Drosophila melanogaster: one gene and its partner. The protein of the gene in region 1 interacts with the protein of each later gene in a biochemical or structural test. Each region holds a gene or a part of one and is shown on either strand. Other genes may lie near its edges.

Region 1 (4,138 bases):
AACGTGATAATACGAAATACAACAACTGACAACAAAACAAACAGAAAACCTGACAACGCCGCTGTCGCTGCCTCTGCTGTCGTCGCGGTCGACGTCGTTCTCTGTCCATGTCGACGTTGGCAGATTTTCCCGGATTGGTTCCCTATTCTCGGCTTCACTGGCATATAAGCCTGGCCAATAGCAAAGCTCTGCCGCACATCCTTCTGTTATTGGATCCCGAAGCAAACTTCGTTTTTTCCTTCGCTTCGGAGCTTCGGATGACTTGTTGCTTTCCAAAAATAGTCACTGGCTGCACGGGGCGTATACTCGATATTCCCAGAATTGACCCGCCTGGGTAAAACAGGTGACTGAAGTTCGCTCTACCACATGGTCCATGGTTATGCCAATTGATGGGTTTTCAGGGCTGACTGGGTTTCTCAAATGCAAAAAAAAAAGAGTTTTGTTTAACCGAAGAATAGCACAAGGCTGAAAAAAGGTGGGCGACTTAACAAGTTTAACAAGTAGAAAAATGGCGAGGATATTCTTGGAATTCTTTTGAATTGGTTTAACGAAAGATGGAACCTTACAAATTGAATAAGTCTTATATATTTTATTTATTTTATATATTTCTTTATTTATATATTTCTTAAATAATCCATGTAATTGTAATTCAGTTTATTTGCATTTTTATCAGAAATGTGTTTTTATATTTTATCTCAAATTGCTTACTGCTCTGATTCATAGTTATAAAATCTTCGATGATCATTGGGTAAGTATTGAGTGTATTATACAAAACTTCTAAGAAAATTTACCGGACCTATGCCAACAGAGAGCAATTATTATAATTATTTAAACTTGATTAAGCCCTCGAATAGTTTGAATACTTTTTGAAATTTCCAAGAAAAACGGCGACCTACGGCAATAGTTTAGCGCCTTCGATAGAATGCAGATTAAGTATACGCTCCGTTGCAGCTACTACGTCGTTTCATTGGGTTTTCGCCCAGAGTGTTAAGCACTCAGCTTCAGACCCCCCCCCCCCACCACTCTGCCCCATCGGATCTACTTACTGGGAATGACGCAGCGGTAATTAGTTGGTGGCACAGAGGCAATCCTTTGGAGCACATTACGCATACGTCACGTGTTGCAGACGCACCAGTGCCGAATTAACCGAATATTGGCACGGCAATTGGCCAATCGGCCACGCACTCCAGCTGATGTGTAAAGTCTAGTGGCCATAGGTACACCCGTTACAGGGGGACAGACATAGCGCTCTATTGCGAATCGACTGGAAACTTTTGAGTTGCATTCGTATCTCTATTTGTCACCCTATCGGTACGTGTATCTTTGAGTGCGCTTGTCGTTCAACGTGCACTCTCATTCTCTCTGTCGCTCTCTCTCAATTAATTTGCGTATGTGTGTGTGCCCGGTGTGTCCGCAACACGTGCTTAGAACTGTGCTAGACAGTGGGCTTTGGGTCATATTGAAATCCGCGTGACTTGGCCGCAGCAGCGCTCAGCGCCTCAGCGGGCGTCGCAGTTCCAGTCCCCCAAGTATATACAAATAACTACAGCTATGTCCAAGATAATAGCAATCATTTAAGAGCAAGAAAAAAATGTTTTAAAATAATAAATTTTGTTACTAGAATATTATAAGTAATGTTGAAATAACTGAGATAAAACAAAGTTGCTTTAAAAAAAAATATTATTAAGTTCTTGATAGATAATTAGATATAAGAAGATAACATAGGTTTAGTCCTAAGTGAATTATAATTTATAATAGATTTGATACTAAATCTGAGTCGAAGTACTCGTATATGAACACTGTTTAATATATACCAAGAACTGTACTAAAAATACCTATGGCACTTGAATTGATTAATATAGTAGTAATGCTAATCATTTTCCCAGTGCTGTATGTAAAAATATTTGTTGTACATGTACAAATATTTTGCGCTACCAACATTTGATAAAAAAAAGCCAGTTAAACAATTATCAAAGTAGGAGAGGGGTTACTGTTTTCGGACCTCCGCCCTTTACGTAAGCCGACTTACTTGCAGAAAATTGCAATTTTTAGCTGGCTGAGAGAGCGGTAGCGGCGACTGCGACGTCGACTGCAGCGACGACTGCAGCGGCGGCAGAGGAAAAGCAGAGACGGACATTGAGACCGAGAAAATTACTCGGCCGGCATTCTGTCGCATCGCGTTCTCATGTGAAAATCGTCGCAGCTCGTTCCGTGTTTTCGCCACTCGAGCGGGAAAATCAAAAAATATTTCTACGCTCAACAAAATAAATTAATTGAAATTGATTTTTCAAGCAACAGAAATAGTTCTAGAAGAACTATAAATCGAGGAAGTCATTTTTGTTTTATCAAATTTCAAGTGCAATGGGTTCATTGTGAAATCAATCTAAAGTGTGTGTGTGTGTGTCATTCGAATAATTACTATTATTAAAAAAGAAATAAATACGCAGAAAGAGAGAGAGAGATCGAACGAGGCAGAGTGAAAGAGAGAGATAGAGAAAAAAGCGAGAGATCCGGAGATCTCTCGAGAATCTTTAAACAACAGCGCTAAAGTTACGGATCTAATTTCAAACAGTTTAATTTACTTTTAATTTTTCTACAAAACAACAAACTTCAAAAAGAAAAATACGAACCAGCAAAACTCAAAGCAAAAAACGATCTCATATCCAAGCGCAGCAACAAATTCTGAGAATAAGAAAAGGTATTCAACAAAAGGCTGAAAGGAAGAAGAGTTATTCATCAATGAAAAGGATAATTCAATTGATTTGGAAAATAATAATTTATTTGTTTTGATTTATATATAGAAAATATTCCAAATTTACGTTGAAATAATGTTAAAAAAAAAAAAACATTGGAAGCCTTTGACTCGGTTGATTTGATATACAGTTTAATTGGCAAATAATTATTAGTTTGTCTCGTTTTAAAAGTGAAGCAAAAACAATAAATGACCGTGAATGTTTTGATTGCAAAAATTCCATAAAGAACACGGAAAGCCTTTGTACCTATTGATTCCACTTTAAGATTTCTATAGCGTCACAAAAATCTTATTATACAAAATTGATTGAACTAAAAGAAAGCGCAAACTATACAACTATACAATGCCTTTTCTTATTCCTTATCATCATGATCATCAATAAAAACTAATGGAAAACTAAATAAAAATCATACAAAAATAGACGAAAACAAAGTGCATTCCCTGACCACACGAAAACAAGCGCATTCATTATCAGTTGCTATCAAAATCGCTTCCCCATCATACTCAATACTCACTAATAAAACTGAAAAACTGAATCATTCCCAACATTTTTCACCCACCTATCACCTGTTCATTAGCAACAACGAATTGGCTATCAATTGACTGGCAAATAAAAAACCAGCAACATACCAAAGTGCTCAAACACTAATCTGGGTTTTTCAAAAACAAAAGCACAATATTTTTTTCAGATAACACAGACAAGCGTTTATGTTAAAAACAAAAAAACTAAAGTGAACCCAAGTGTAAAGACAATGCGCACAACTTTTGGCCGTGGCCCAAAGTTTATACTGCTGACCAGCAAATTTAATCACGTTCAGCACAAGGAGGTGATCACCTAGGATCATCAGAAAACAGTGATTAACCGTAACCAGTGAAGGATAACCCAGTGAATAACGTACCCAGTTGTTGAAACCAGTGATCATGTCGTCGGATACGAATTCGTGTACTAGTTTCTTTGCCCAGGAGCACGCGAATGCCACATTGTCGCAGTATTTCCAGCAGCTTAACTCGCACGTTGCTGCTGCAGCGGCGGGCAATAGCGGTGGCAACAGCAGCAGCAGCAACAACAACAACAGCAGCGGCAACAACAGCAGCAGCGGCAACAGCGACAGCGGAAATGATGGCAGCATGACAGGATCATCGGGAACCATGGACAACCATCGCAGCAGTGTTAGCAGCAATGATTCGGGCAAGAGTAGCGCCACAGGAGGCGGCGGGGCAGGTGCCACCAGCAACAATGGCGTGAATGCCTGGGCCTTGCAGCAGCAGCAACAAACCGCCGCCCTGCACCATCAGCAACAGCAGCAGCATCAACAGCAGCAGCAACACCAACAGCACCTACAGCAACACCATCAAGCGCACCATCAGCATGTCCTGCAGCAGCAG
Region 2 (3,600 bases), on another chromosome or scaffold:
TTTTAACTGCTGCGTTAGAAGCAGAAGCCCAGGGGCGTCGTGCAAAAGGGGGCGGGGCAGTGGGAGCCGCGAGGAGCTGGAAGCGCCCAGATATGCGACATGTGTTGCGGAAATATTTTGCGAGCAAGAAAAGCAGCAAGGCGCAGAGTCAGGAAATATGCAAAAATACAAAAGGGCACTGCAAAAAAATGAGTGATTAAAGTTTTTCAAATATTATTCAAAACCAGTACCAGAGGCAGCTAAGTCTGTCGTCTGATTCGTATTTTTATTTAAAGAATAATATCAAAAACAAGTTTATATTGCGTGTTAAAAAAAAATACAACAAAATTAGGAAATAAATTGTCTTAGTATCCCAATAATGTGGCATACTTTTTTACAGTGTTCTTTGAATGGATCATTTACATACACGCGTCTCGCTCGGTTTTTATTGCTTCGCACCTACATATTTGGTTTACTTTTTTCGTTATTTATTTGTTGGTAGTTGACCATCGGTCGAAATAACGACGATTTTCATTCGTCGGCGATCGCACGTCTTTGCGTGTGTGAGTGGGAAAGATATGCTTTGAATTAGTGTGTGTGTGTGAGCGGTTAAACGAGTTGTTTTCTCGTTTTACTTGTTGTATCTTCAATTGCCTCGTTGGATTGCTTTGTTTTCTCTTTTTCCCAGCCAATGGGAGACAAAGGCGGGTTTTTACGAAGATCTTGAACGATTCACCAATAAATTGAAAATGGAGATTTCTATAGTTGCATAAAAAAAATGCATTCTGGCTAATGTATATAAATACAGCAATGGAAAATTAAAATCGTAGGCAAGTGCAATTAATGTGATTTATTTTGTCTATATTTCATTTTAAATTGCCAGCCCCAATATCGAATCGTTACACTCTTTTCACCCCTTTTTTTGTTATCATTTTCGAGTGATTGCTTATCTACCCTACCCCCACTTAAAAAGAAACACACCTTGGCACATACTCCCAAAAAAAAAAAAACACATTTTCTCATATATGCATACATAACTGGATCTGCTTCCTTTTTTTATGTCATCGTTTCTTGGGTTACACAGCCGGAAAATGCACGATGTGAGGGTAAATGGGGAAAGCGGTTGGGCGGACTAATGGAATTCACACGTGTTTTGCTTTATTCGTATTGCTGCAATAAAAGTATACGTTTCAGGTATTTCGATACATCTGTGTAACATCAAAATTGGCATGCTACCTATAACTGCAAGACATGCCAATGAAATCCATTTTCAATTTCTATTTACACGAGAATTTGGAGCACAAGCCTGTAAAAAGAGTTAACAACTTTTCTTAAGAACATTGCAAATTAAGACATAAATTTTATTTACATATTATTGAGTTATCAAATTTGTATATTAGTATAAATATCATTTCAGAATGATTTTTTTTTTTTTGTATTGTTTATTGTATTCTCTTTGAAAATAAAATTAAGCAGATGGGCCTTTGAATGCATAATTCAAAAACTTTCAATAACTTTAGATATTTTCAATTGCATTTCTGAAATAAGGCGCCACCTTTTGTTTCGGGCGCCACCTGGATACCACTTTCGCCAACTCATCCGCTAGGTGGCGCAGCTCAAAAATATTTTTCGTCCATCTGGCAGCACTGGGTCTATGTAAGAACTAGTGTGCCCATATAACAAAAACAGCGTTGTCAACTTGGCTATTTCACAGCTTTCCAGTTACTCGAACTTTGAACTTATGGCTAGCTGCAAGGATATAATTTCGTTTTTCTTTTGATTTTCCAATACTCTTGCGCTATTTTCTTAATGTGGTACTTCGAAACCAACTTTGGACTATCTTAACTTAGTATATGAATCACAGTTTTTCACAATTACATATCTTCTAGACATTCGCTGAGGAGTAAATACCAGATGGTAATTTTCTTCATTATCGGCGCGGTCACACTGCGAATATCAAGATGGCGTAAATTTGTAAAAAATCGTCGAAATCTATGTGAAATAGCCAGAAAAATTGAAACGAAAGCGCAGCGTTGATGCAAAACGTAAGTGGTCAGTAGCGTTTCGGATCGACAGACCCGTTTGCGAGCGAAAAAGCGGCGGTTACCACGCGCAGGAAAACTCGAATTTCCCAACAGCATTTCAGTGCTCATTGAGAGTGCGAGTGTGTGAGTGAGTGCCCTCGTCTTTGTGTTGGTGTGAAAATGCTGAAGCAGGAGGGATAGCAACGTGCTCGCGGTAGAAACCGTGCGAGTGCGGGCGGGACGACTAGTGTGCACGAATCTATTGCCAGGGCAAACGACTCGCATAAGTTTGGTTTTTTTAATAAGAGTCCGAGTTCCGTTTGGTTTCGTTTAATTTTCTCGAGTTGATTGGCAACAAGATGCTAATCAATGTGGCCATAAAATCAGAGAAGAACAGCATAACCGACTCGAAGATAAACGATAAAAATAACTGAAATATGGCAGCAATGCAGTATTATTAAAATTATTGCATAAAATGCGCTTGCGTGTGGCCCCAAAAAGTGCGACTGTGTGCGTGTGTTTGTGTGCGACTGTGGCAACTACAACAAAAACAACGTCTGGGCTCTAAAACAAAGAAAATGAAAATTATTGTGGCAGAATCAATCCAATTAAAAAATTCGATTTCGATTTCAGTCGAATTAGAAGAAGGAAAAGCAGCGTCGCCAGCAGAGGAAGTGGGCAAAGCGGAATAGGAAACAAGGAATATAAGAAAAACAAGCCACGGTAAGTGCGGAATTTGTTCCACTGTGCGTTCAAGTTTCCCTTCTCCACCCGCTATCGGCTGCTCCTTATCAGCCCCGTTATTCGCAGTGCATTCGTGGAGTGCCGTTAGTTTTCGGAGGCCATTAGCGTTTGACAATTAATTGCAAGTTTCCTTCCCCTTCTGAGGTTTCCCCGTTGGTTTTGCTCTGGTTTTTGGTTTTTCCATTTGCTCTTCCCTGTTTACTTAAGCTTTTTACTTTTGTGGCGCCTGCTGGAACAACTGTTTTTTGTATCTTCTTTGTTCTCCAGTGCGTTTTTTTGCGGAAGCTTTTCGGCAGCCGCCAACGCAACGTGCAGCTGTTTTGCAATTGTAATCAATTCGTGTTTACCCGCTGGTCCGAAACAACTGCTGGATACCCTGGGAAATATTTAGTTACCAATAGGAAAGACCGCGTTTTCCCTGCTAGCCTTCCAGTAAACAAATTAAAGCTCCTAAAATTAATACCACATTTCAATTTGACTTACAGTGCTTATACAGTGATTTCTTTCTGTGTAGAACATGGGAGATACAAATAAAAAACGGTACATTTCGGTTAAATAAATCAAAGCCAAGGCGAAAACAACAACAAACACAGGCAGGTTTTGAGGTTAGAACCGCAGAGTGAGTGATAAAGAGTCGGGAAAAGGAGGAGAGAGAGAGAGAGAGAAAGAGAGAGAGCGATCGAAATGCGTGAGCGGTAAAAGAAAGCGCACAGAATGTGGGAAAGAGGAGTGGGAAGGGGTTAGTGAGTGAGAGCCGCCGAAAACAATTAAACTAAATTTTTGTGATATTTGACCGGCAAGTGAAAACTTTCGGCTTGTTGCTTCGTTTTCTGACTTCCATGCGCTTTATCTT

Evidence for each region.
Region 2: of the proteins of Pdp1 (region 1) and dco, one has a biochemical effect on the other in vitro, tested with the Drosophila melanogaster proteins (one study listed by BioGRID).

What each region holds. Positions count from the first base shown.
Region 1 is NT_037436.4:7,831,114-7,835,251, reverse strand, and holds the start of Pdp1 (PAR-domain protein 1), read left to right. Parts: upstream 1-2,178; 5' UTR 2,179-2,698; intron 2,699-3,424; 5' UTR 3,425-3,673; coding exon 3,674-4,138.
Region 2 is NT_033777.3:31,059,501-31,063,100, reverse strand, and holds the start of dco (discs overgrown), read left to right. Parts: upstream 1-1,890; 5' UTR 1,891-2,024; exon of another isoform or gene 2,025-2,636; 5' UTR 2,637-2,726; intron 2,727-3,600. UniProt on the Drosophila melanogaster protein: Serine/threonine-protein kinase which is involved in the circadian rhythm pathway, viability and planar cell polarity.